Cricetulus griseus: one gene and its partners. The main gene of each other region encodes a partner of the protein of the gene in region 2 in a complex. Links are inferred from orthologs where the notes say so. Each region holds a gene or a part of one and is shown on either strand. Other genes may lie near its edges.

Region 1 (4,230 bases), on a different chromosome or scaffold from region 2:
AAGAGAACAGCCAACTTCTACTCAAGTCTCCCAGTTGATTGTGAAGAACAGGTTAAATCCAGTTTATTTAGACACCTCTTTGGGATAAGCTCAGCTCCATGTCTAGGTCTGTGAAACAACTGTATAGAAGCTGGGAATGGAGACCCAGCTGGTTTTGTGAGTAAATATTAGTTTAGGAAAATACAAAATGTCAAATCAAATTGCTATCTCTACAATTAACACACGTATCTTTTCTTTTTTTTTCTTTCCCTAAAAGATTCAAAATCTGAAAGGCAAGGGCTGTGTTTGTATGTACAAGCACACAGTGAACGAATATGCATGCATGTGTGTCTAGTCTACTACTGTATCCTCAGTACCATAACTGTGATTGGGACACAGTGGGTACGTAAAAGACAGTTTGTAAGACAAATGGATGCTGAAAGCAGCCCACAGTGCCTGGGACTCCTTTTGTAACACACCCACTCTCCCCAGATGAAACAGGTCTGGCACCCAGCACAAGCCAAGAATTAGAGCCAAAGTTCCCATCAACCCTCACACACATTAATGCAGGCCCAAAGGTGCAGAGAGAGATGAGAGTTCTCAAAAATCAATAGCAATTTAGGAGAGTGCCTGTCTTGCCAGGAAAACTACTTAAATCGGAACTTAGTCAGGAAGCCAGTGGCCAAGACTGCATGTGTAATGCCAATCAATAGGGTATTTTAATAACTCAAAGACACAGGATGTGAAACATTGAGAGGCACCAGTCCAAACCCAAGCTCTCAGTCAAAGCCTTAAGTGCTGCCTGGCTAGTTAGCAAAACTTCCTGAACTTCTCTCTCTACCACACCAAACAGGAAACCCTCAACAGAAAGGTGCGCACCTAGGAGGTTGCCCCTGCTGCAGCAGAGGCGACGGGCTCTTCTAAAGAAACCCCGGGATCTAAGGTGAGCAGTGGACTCAGTGGAAGAGGACGGGGCTCTGCCCTGATCTCATCTGCCATCTTCAGGTTCCCTGACTCAGACCCACAGGCTTTGGCTGGGCGCAGCACACACTGAAATGAAGAGGAAGTGGGTGTGGAGGAGGGGCCGCTCAAGTGTCCAAAGCCAACGTAACACATCAAGGGACACAGACCGCAAGAAGGTGGCAGGGAAGCAGGAAAAAGAAACCAGAGAAGGGGGCAAAGACACAAGTTTTCAATTAACACGATTTAATCAAATCTATATTTAAAACTAAACGGAGAAAACCCTGAAAACCGCATCAGTGATTTATTATTCCTACCCATGGACCACCCCTCGCCCTCCCATCTTGTATCCTGCTCCTTGCCATTAGGCAGCACTCAGATACAGTGCAAATTAATTAATTGGGGTGGGGGAGTGTGCTAGCATGGGTTTCCAAACTCCTTCTATAGTGTTCCTGGGGGAGAGCCGGGAAGTGGCTTCCCAGTCCAAGTTGCAGACTCATCTGATAATACCCCTGTATGTTAAAGGCTGAGGACCTTGGATTCCAAGAGTTTATGGTTGTTGTTAAGGGCTGGGACTGAATATGGCAAATTACTACACAAATGAATAACTTTCTGGTTATTCTGGTTCTGGGAATAAAAGCCTGGATCTTGTGTGTCTTAGTGGGGTACTCTACCAATGAGCTAGATCAGCTCTCCGTTTTGTTTGTTTGTTTTTTGAGACGGGGGTCAGGGGGAGGATGGTGTCTCACTTTGTAGCTCAGGCTGGATTCAAACTCAGGATCTTGCTGCCTCGGTCTTCCGAGTTTTGAGATTACCGCTATGTCTCAAGTAACAGCTTTTTGTTTTCTTTTATATTTGTACAACGCTGTGTTTTCAGTGTGCTTTACTTATCTATTTTTGAATGAACTTGTTTTCGGAAATCTTCAATAACTCAGTGTGGGTGGAGCTAAGAACAAGGGTTCGGAAACCACTTTTATAGATAAAGAAACTTCTGGAGCCACAGCCCTCCATGCCAGCATTGGAACCTGGGGCTCAGGAGCCACGCCCTTTTCTATAGACTCTGTCAATTGACTCATGGTGGCTTCAGTGCAGTCAAGGCAACTTTCTCTACTGAACCACCCGGGGATACTTCTTTCTGCACACGTTCCAGGGCGGCAAACTCCTCAGAAAGAATAGGGTCTGAGGTCGCTGTCCTACCAAACAATCTAGAGTTCGCGACAAAGACTGAGCTGAGATTGTTTTGTGTAAAGGAGGGCACCAAGAACTCAAGACTTGAAGTTCTGGTGCCGCCGCCCCCGCCCTCGCCCGGTTCCCCGCGCCGACTTCACAAATTTACGTTTGTCAGTAGCAAAGAAATACACCTGAAATTGCAGGAGTTATGGTTCAGAGTGAGAGGACGACGCAGTTCGGAAGGCGGAGGGGAAAAGTCCACAGATGTCTCACTGTTGGGCTGCAGGCTCCCCAGCGGCCACACCCAGTCCCCCGTTGGCACCTAGCACCTCTGGAATGCCGAGCCCCTCGGTTCCCCGCCCCACACAGGGTCTCCCTGCTTCTCAGGGGACCTCAAGGGGAAGCACAGTCTCCTCCACCTCTGCCCTGCACCCCCCCCAGGCGTGGTATGCAAAGAGACGTGTCACGACCCCACACGGGACACTTTGCAACTCTGTGGCAGGACGCGTAGATCGCCCAAGGGGATGGATCCTTCTTGGTGCCTCCCAGGGTCCCCGTCGTCGGAGCCTGCCCGCTCCCGGTTCAACACCGAAACCCCGAGGCCATAGCGGATGACCGGGCCGCGCCCCACTTACCTGGGCCGGGCGCCTAGCGCTGAAAGCCTCCCCAGAAGCCGAGCGGCCCGGCTGGGCTGGGTGGGGCTTTTATACCCGCCCCATCCTCCCTGCGTAAAGCCGCCACGCCTCCCCTCCCCTCCCCGGCCTGTGCCCACCCTGCTCCGGGTGACTCACCCTCTCTGGAACGCCGCCCAGTCCCGGCCCTGCCCTACGTGACAGCCTCACCACCTTCCCAGGCCCATCAAGCCTCCACCTCCCTACCCCCCTTACTCCTAGGGTATTGGGCCCAGTGGTCAGCCTGGCCCTCGGCTGTTAAGATTTCAGCAGACTGGCTTGCCCAATCCACTTCTTCTTTTGTTTATAGGCTTCTAGATGTCGAGGTAATGGAGGGTAGAATTGTTTCAAGACACACATACTTGGATTCCCCTGAGTTAGGCTGTTGGCACCCAGCTCTCCATGACCGTCTGCAAACATATTAGTTTAACCTCTGGTCACCAGATGGAGGAGCATGGGGTGGGCGGTTTATTTGAAACGACCTAGAGAGCCTAATGGGCCTAGGAAACTGCATGAAGGCCTCCAAGCAGTCAGGGAGACTCAGAGGTAAGGCACCCCCCCCCCACCCAGGTGCCTCCTTCCCCCAGACAGCAGCACTTCAGAGCACTCTACAAGACCTCCTACCGTCTTTCCTAATTGTAGATTATTAGGGTTTTGTTTTTCTCATTCCCTTGACCAATTGCTTCTCTGGGTTTTATTTTATTTTTTCATTTTTTCCTAGCCTGATTTTCAGGGGCAGTCACACGGACAATGCAGGAGTGAACTATGTCTGTGTGTGACTGCCCATACTGCATCAAACCTCAGGCTAACAGAAGAATCCAGAACACCTTTCACACTGGGTCTTTAAGCTGCACATTTCACCTCTCTCTCTTTTCTCCTGGTCCTAATGGTTCTTTATCATCTCTCCCATCTATTTGTGTGAGCCTGTAGTTCACATGTGGAAGCCAACCAGATGTCAGCCTCAGGGACGCTGTTCCTCAGGAGTTATTTGAGACAAGGTGCCTGGAGCTCACAAATTAGGTTTAGACTGGCTGGTTAGTAACCATTTTACCTGCCTGAATTGAGGATGGAACTCAGGTTCCTTTGCTTTGGCCACAAGCTCTTTACCAGCTGAGCTATCTTCTCAGCCCTGCTCCCAACTGACTACAACATCTGTTTATACTTTGTACTCCTCTCTCAGTTCATTCCGAGGATAGCAGGATAGCCAGGGAAAGAGATGCTCAGTACTGTGCTTACTGTCACATAGCCAGTTAGCTGTGAAGTCAGCCCCAACTGGGGTCCCAACATCCAGCTCAGGCTCTAGGTTGCCCAGCCTTGCCACTAGAAGTTACATGTGAGCCCCAGCAGAATAACAAGTAGAAAAAAGGACATTATCACTTTTGATACAATGTTTGATTTACATTCACAGCTCTTCATTATGGACAGCTTTAAAGACAAAAACCATGTTTAT
Region 2 (4,123 bases):
AACCAGCAACAGATGTGACCTTCAATCCCATCCCAACTTCAGTTTGAGCCCAGAGGCAGATCTGGAGAGAGAAAGGAGGGTGGTGGACTGGCTAACTTCCCACATCTGGAGCCTTTCAAGCCAAGCCTCTGGTGGCTTCTGCCTTAAGTATTCCCAAAGTTTTCTTTGTTGCACGTATGTGCGCGCACACACACACACACACACACACACACACTTGCATGCTAGTTAAATCAGCCACTCAACCCCTACCCAACCCTTTCTAGTTTTGTTCCCTCAAGGCTCAACTCCCAGCTCAACTCCCCGCAGTCCCCACCACTACCCTGTGATATACCCTCCCTCAACACCCAACCCACAATCTCCAGTCTCTTAGGCAACAGCACATAGTTTCAAGACTCTTTATTGAACTCGCTCAGCATTGTGCATATGTATGAAGAAGCCAGAGTAAGGCACTATGCTCAGAGCCAAAAGGGAAGAGCCCCCTCCTCCCGAAGACCACGCCCCCACACTTCATCTGCAGAGTCTTCACTTCTTCCGGGGCTGTTTATCTGGGCAGCCTTCAAAGAATTCATTGCACATCATGGCAATGCAGGACAGGAAGACGCAGTACTCCTGGAAGTCTACTTCGTTATCCCTGTTGCTGTCCAGGTTGCTCATCAGCTTCTGGAATCCTGCTTCATCTCTCTTTTTCTGGGAGTAGAAGAAGAACAGTTAGAAGCCAGACCCAAGCTAGATCTCTGCCTCCAGCCAGGTGTTCAGGAACACCTGAGTGCCTCTGGGCACTCAGGAAGCCTTGGGACTAAGCTATGTAGAGGAGGATGTGCCCTAGATGCGGGCACTTGAGGTAGCTGGGAACGGGGAGGACCACATCTTCTCCTTGTTTGCTTTAATTATCTCATTAGGTAGCAGCCATGGCAGTGATGCATTAAATTAACTAATGCAAGGTGTTATTGAGGAGAGACTCTGCAGGTGTTTGTGTGCCTCCACCATCGTGTCTTCACAAACAGAAACTCAATTTCTCTTGCCAACAGTCCTGATCTAGCCTGCAGTTCAGACACTGACTATGTTAGGCAGTTGTTTTGCTTTTTCTCTGTCTCTTCGGTTGTGTTCATTCTAAGCCTTCTCTCAGCTGAGGGCTAATGAGGGATAGATGGTTCACTGTGGTTCCACACCAAGCACCCGGAGCAAGCTCTCCAACCTCCATTTCCCCACCTTAGAGATATACGCCAACTGTAGCTAGGCACTACCTACCAGAGTCCCAACCTCCTCCTGGGGATGCACCACACATGAAATACACAGGCAGGACCCACTCACCCCCAAAAAGCTAGGCAGCTCCCTGGTCAGCAGCTCCTTCAGCTCAGACTTGTTGAGCTTGAACTTATCACCCTCTTTGCCTGAGTATTTGTGGAAGGTAGACACCATCATATCCAGGGCCTCTTCTAAGGGGTATTCCATGGTGACAGTTGAGAGCTAGGGGCAGGAGACACAAAGGTAGCCTTACCCAACCCACACCAACAGTGTATCAAGAACTGGCTATGTGGCACTGCTCATCACCCAAGTCATAGACTCATTCTGCCCCCATTTTAAATGCTCCATTCCAACCTACCCTCTAGGAACACTTCAGGAGACTGTCCTCATTCCCAGAGAGATCAGAGGAGTGGGACCCACTAATGGCAAGATGGTCGTGTATGCTTTGGGCTCTGAAACATGCAGAGCCTACCATACAATCTCTGGAGATTCGTGCCAGCAGCTTTTGGGCTGACTGTCCTCGGGCCTGGCCTCAACAACAGCAGTTTTCCGTCCTTGCTCAGCTCAACCACAAGCACCAGGCTCTGGCCCGTTCTTCCCCCTCCCAGCATTGGGCGCGGCTGCTGGCTGCCTGCCCATGGGCCCACAGCGGAAAAAACCCAGCTGCCTATTGACCAGCTTAGTGAGGAGTGAGATGAGGTGGCAGAGGTAGGGGCACAAGGGGAGGGTGGGGAAGCCAGGCTCTCTTGACCTGGGGTGCTGGATGTCCATAAGGCACTAATATGAACACAGAAGTCTACAGGTGAGTGCTGGAGTGGTAGCCTGTAAGTAGAGGTGCCTGCCACTAAGCTTGATGGCCTGAGTTTGATCCCCAGAGCCCATGGTAGAAGGAGCAGACTGACTCCCTCCCACAAGTTGCCCTCTTACCTCCACAAGTGCACCTTGGCATGAGCCCCCCATCCCCAACCCACGCATGCATGCACACAAATAAATAACTGAAGTTTAAACGTTAAGAAGAAAGCCTACATGTTCCCTCACTTTGCTTCCTGCACCTGCTTTCCCGCACACACTGGCTTGAATGACCCAGCAAACACCCATCAGGGTACCTATCCATGGCTCCCAAACACAGATGTACACTGTAGCAACAACACGTGTAAGCCTCAGCATCTTAGAAATCTTGAGAGCTCAAATGGCATCTATACACCTTTTTGTTGCTGTTTTCATTCTTGTGCAACACACACAGACACACACAGACACACAGACACACAGACACACAGACACACACACACACACACACACACACACACACACACACACACACACACACACACAGCCTCCACATCAGAATCTCTCATCTGGATCTAGTAAAAACATCTGTCTCCCCAGAAGCCTCCCTTTCTCCTGTCCCAGCCTCAGCCTCTGACACCACTAATACTGCTATGAAGCCAACACAACTCACCAGACCCAGAGAGAGGAAGTGCTGAACAGAGAGGTTTGGGGAAAGCTCAAATGTCTGCCCTATTTATACTCTGCTGGGCCCTGCCCATGCAGGGGATGGGGGGAGCTTGGATACTATGTTCCTACTGTTGGCTGATGTAGTAAATGTCACAGGCCCCTCCACCAGCCCAACCTGAGAACCAAGCTTCCTACTACCCAGCAGGCACAGGCGAGCATTGAGTAAGCCCCAGTGGACACGAGAGACCTGAATGGTGTGGATACCACCCAGTAGCCACAGCTCAGCCAACTTTTAAGGAAGCTTTGAGAAGGGGCAACATGGGCATGGGATGTGGGCCACAGGAAAGAAGATGGGGAGGTGATGGGCAAGAGGGGAATATGGAAATGTATGGCCCAGGAATTGGGGAGGTGACCCCGGCCAGTGGGACAGTCAGCCCTTCTCTCCAGCCTAAACAGCTCTCTGTCACGCTCAGTAAGACCCAGAGTGAAGACTGGCAAGTCGGGAGGGGCCTTGGTACCACCCTAGGTATTAAGTGGGAAACGCCTAAGAGGGCGTGATGGAGTTAGGGCAGTAATGAGGCCTCGAGGTTCATGAATGGGTAGAAGGTCCAGGGAGGGTATTGGGGCTGATGGGAGCATTCAGGTTTGAACACTCAGCTTGGAGAAGAGAGTTACAGGAGAAACAGGTAAAATGGGGAGTCAGGATTAATCTCTAAGGATGGGGTACAAATACGGGGATTGAGCAATGGTCAGAAATGGGAACTTGGGACCCTCAGGGGCTGTGGTTTCAGAGATGAGGACTGACTCAAAGTATCCCTTTCCCCTTGCAGTAAATACAGAGGCTCCCTCCCTGGCTGGCAGCAAATACCTCAGAGGCCCCAATCCTATTGCTACTGCTCTCTGGTTTCCCACAGCTATGCCACACCCATACCCACATACCTCGATGCTCTAATCACAAGTACTGAGTTTCTCCCAAGGAGCCTCTTGCCCTCCTAGAAAGCCCAAAACAAGGGCTTCCACCTCAAGACAGGGGACAGAGAGATGGAGACAAAGACCCCCAGCCTCACCTGATGGGGACTTGTAATGGCCCCACCTTCCTACTGAATACTGAGACTTATGCATTCCTATGGGGTCTGGAACTGCCTTTAGGGCCCCTGCCTTCAGCTGCCTTCCTCCAGCGATATGGAACATAGAGGGGTAAAGACTCCCAAGGACTCAGTCCCAAAATCCAGTGTGTCCCATCAGAAGAACCAAACCAAGCCAAGCTGACATTTCTTTATTAGGAGTTGAGCAGGCCCCTGCCACAGTGTGCACATGGCTGAGCCTCCAAAGTGAGAGAGCAAATGTTCTCCCTTCCAAGAAGAGAAGCTACTGTTCCACCCCTCACTACTTTGACATCCCTAGGAAAGCTTCTACTGTGCAT
Region 3 (2,352 bases), on a different chromosome or scaffold from region 2:
AAGGGGACACTCTACCAGATGACACAGCCAACTCCACTTCCTGGGGCCACACGGAGGCCTGGAGACCGATGCCCTAATCTTTTCTGGACACCTCTGGAGGTGTCTTTTCCGGACACCCAGTAGCTGCCATCTCAGGATGGGACCTGGGCTGACCCATGAGACCAGTGAAGGAGCCAGCCTATGGAGAATCTGAGGCTTGGGACCCAGCATGGTCCTCATTACTTCCAAGTCTCAGTTCTGAGCCCCAAGACAGCTAGGCAGGGTCTCTCACTAGAACAGCCCACAAAGCTCCCAGTTCTGGGTGTGGGCTATGGGTTCCCACCCAAACTCCATACTTCTCAGAACAAATGAAGACTGCTTGTGAAGCCTGGAAGACAGAGCTCATTCCTGACCCGACCGGCACTGACTGCCCTCAGTTTGGGTGGGGTACCTACTTGGTCTCATTGTCCAGCTGTTCCTCCAGCTGTGCAATCTTGGCCTCCAAGGCAGCAATGGAGGCCTTGTATTTGGACTTGACAGCACTCTCCATCTCCTGCAGCTTGGCCTTGAGCTCCTTGTTCTGGCGTTCGAGCTGCTGCCGCGCATTCTCGTTCTTCTGAGCATGACTGCGCTCCAGGTTCAGGTCGGTGTTTATCTGGTCAATCTGCAAGAAGGCAGTACGGTGACCTCAAGGGAGGGCTGGGGCCCAGCTGCATGGACCCTCTCCTCAGACATCAGAACCAAAGAACACCCCAGCTCTCTCAGAGAGGAATCTACTCATGAACAGGACCCAGAAACTTCTGAAGCCTGGTCTTGAAGCCACGGGTCAGAGGCATTGTGAGAACAGTGGACACTCATCCATCCTATTTCTGCCCGCCATGGTCTGCTGGACCACAGGGAGCTCAGGCAAAGAGTCTTGATCCCAGTATGCAGGGTCAGCGGCCACCACGATGCTCACCTGCAGGTTGGCCTTCTTCAGCCGGTCGTTGATCAGCTCTGTGTTACCCTGCTCCTCCTCCAGCTCCTCCTCCAGCTGGGCAATGCGGGCCTCTAGGCGCCGCTTCTCCTCCAACGCGAGTGCCCTGGAGAGGACCCAGAGACGTGAGGGCTTGGGTAACTGGGGAGGCCCTCAGACACCCTTGCTTGTGCTTCCTCCCTCTGGCTCACCCTTTGCCACTGCTGTTGGCGATCTCGTCAGCCAGCTCGTCCCGTTCCTGTTGGGCCTGGCGCTTAGCACGCTCAGCAGCTGCCAATTCCTGCCACAAGGACCAAGAACATAAATGACTGGGACCAACACAGCCTTCAGCGCCGCATGTCCTCTCTGGCCCTCAGCACATACCTCTGTTCCTCTAGCTCACAGGGTCAATTCCAGCCCGAGGCACCTTTAGGCATGTGTTTATAAAGCCCCTATGCCTAAGTACTTGGAGCCAAGCCAGGAGCCAGGGCTATAAACAGGAACCACCCAGGCCTAACAGGGACAGCTTGTGTGGACAGACCTGCAGTACTGGTCCCCTGCATATGGTCAGACCAGATACTGAGATGATTAATGAAGCAGGCTTGAGTGCAGGTTAGAGTCCAGGACTCTGCCACTAAGGGCAGCAGACAGACTGTAGAAACCTCCAGAGCACCACGCATGACGGTGACAATGGAGGGAGTTATCCTACACCCAGTAGAAGAGAAGAACCATGCCAGAGCAGAGGGTCTGACCAAGCATTTCATAAGCCGGCGGTGGCACTTTGTGGGAAGTCCACCACCCCACCTGTCCCCACCATGTGCTTCATGTGTCACCAAAGCAGCAGCCCAGGGGGCACTCAGGACCCTCCTTGCCATGTGCAATCGCTGTAAGCTTATAATCAACACACCGCTTCATGGGATGGACTGGGGACTAAGCAGTCACATTTTCTTTTAAAAGGTGGGGAGTACTGAGTCTCATCCTTGTCCCCATTACACATGTTCATGAGCATGAACGCATACACCATGCCATGCCAACTGTGTGGCTAGGGCATGAGCCCTGGAAGGACCCCTCCCATTAACTCCTGCCAGGAGGTAGCTCAGCTTTTCTGCCCTTCCCTTCTGGGCTGAGGCCTACTAACAGGAAAAGGCCCCAGGCTGCCCCCTGCTGGCCAGGAGGCAGAAGCCCCGTGCCCCACAGCTGGCCCACCTCCTGCAGCTGAATCATCTCAGCCTCCATGCTCTTGAACTTCTTCTCATTCTCCTTGGCCTGCGCCAGGATCTCCTCTCGGGAGGCGCGCGTGTCATCCAGCTCCCGCATGCAGTCCTTCATCTGGGCCTGTGTGCAGCAAGAGAGTCTGGCGTCTCCACCTACTTCACACCCGTGGGGACCTCTCTGAGCCTGGGACCATTTTGGCCAAC

The links.
Region 1: the proteins of S100a4 (region 2) and Anxa2 are in contact, whole or in part, in a crystal structure (PDB 5LPU), measured with the Homo sapiens proteins. The link is inferred for Cricetulus griseus from reciprocal best matches to the Homo sapiens genes S100A4 and ANXA2. Residues at the interface, in NP_002952.1 of Homo sapiens: Lys35, Leu38, Pro43, Ser44, Phe45, Leu46, Gly47, Lys48, Arg49, Thr50, Asp51, Ala54, Phe55, Lys57, Leu58, Asn61, Leu62, Gln73, Phe78, Cys81, Ile82, Met84, Met85, Glu88, Phe89, Phe93; in NP_001002857.1 of Homo sapiens: Leu13, Glu14, Pro21, Ser22, Ala23, Tyr24, Ser26, Val27, Lys28, Tyr30, Thr31, Asn32, Phe33, Glu36, Arg37, Leu40, Thr44, Gln69, Asp70, Phe73, Arg77, Arg78.
Region 3: the proteins of S100a4 (region 2) and Myh9 are in contact, whole or in part, in an NMR structure (PDB 2LNK), measured with the Homo sapiens proteins. The link is inferred for Cricetulus griseus from reciprocal best matches to the Homo sapiens genes S100A4 and MYH9. Residues at the interface, in NP_002952.1 of Homo sapiens: Leu38, Ser44, Phe45, Leu46, Gly47, Lys48, Arg49, Thr50, Asp51, Ala54, Phe55, Lys57, Leu58, Asn61, Leu62, Ser64, Gln73, Glu74, Cys76, Val77, Phe78, Ser80, Cys81, Ile82, Met84, Met85, Cys86, Glu88, Phe89, Phe90; in NP_002464.1 of Homo sapiens: Thr1906, Ala1909, Met1910, Glu1913, Val1914, Ser1915, Leu1917, Lys1918, Lys1920, Leu1921, Arg1922, Asp1925, Leu1926, Pro1927, Phe1928, Val1929, Val1930, Pro1931, Arg1932, Met1934, Ala1935.

The regions. Positions count from the first base shown.
Region 1 is NC_048597.1:181,008,772-181,013,001, reverse strand, and holds the start of Anxa2 (annexin A2), read right to left. Parts: upstream 2,853-4,230; 5' UTR 2,745-2,852; intron 1-2,744. UniProt on the Homo sapiens protein: Calcium-regulated membrane-binding protein whose affinity for calcium is greatly enhanced by anionic phospholipids. It binds two calcium ions with high affinity. May be involved in heat-stress response.
Region 2 is NW_023276806.1:63,942,377-63,946,499, forward strand, and holds S100a4 (protein S100-A4), read right to left. Parts: upstream 2,862-4,123; 5' UTR 2,705-2,861; intron 1,665-2,704; exon of another isoform or gene 1,604-1,664; intron 1,468-1,603; 5' UTR 1,453-1,467; coding exon 1,312-1,452; intron 688-1,311; coding exon 523-687; downstream 1-522. UniProt on the Homo sapiens protein: Calcium-binding protein that plays a role in various cellular processes including motility, angiogenesis, cell differentiation, apoptosis, and autophagy.
Region 3 is NC_048595.1:374,865,539-374,867,890, forward strand, and holds part of Myh9 (myosin-9), read right to left. Parts: intron 2,270-2,352; coding exon 2,141-2,269; intron 1,236-2,140; coding exon 1,147-1,235; intron 1,062-1,146; coding exon 938-1,061; intron 644-937; coding exon 435-643; intron 1-434. UniProt on the Homo sapiens protein: Cellular myosin that appears to play a role in cytokinesis, cell shape, and specialized functions such as secretion and capping. Required for cortical actin clearance prior to oocyte exocytosis. Promotes cell motility in conjunction with S100A4.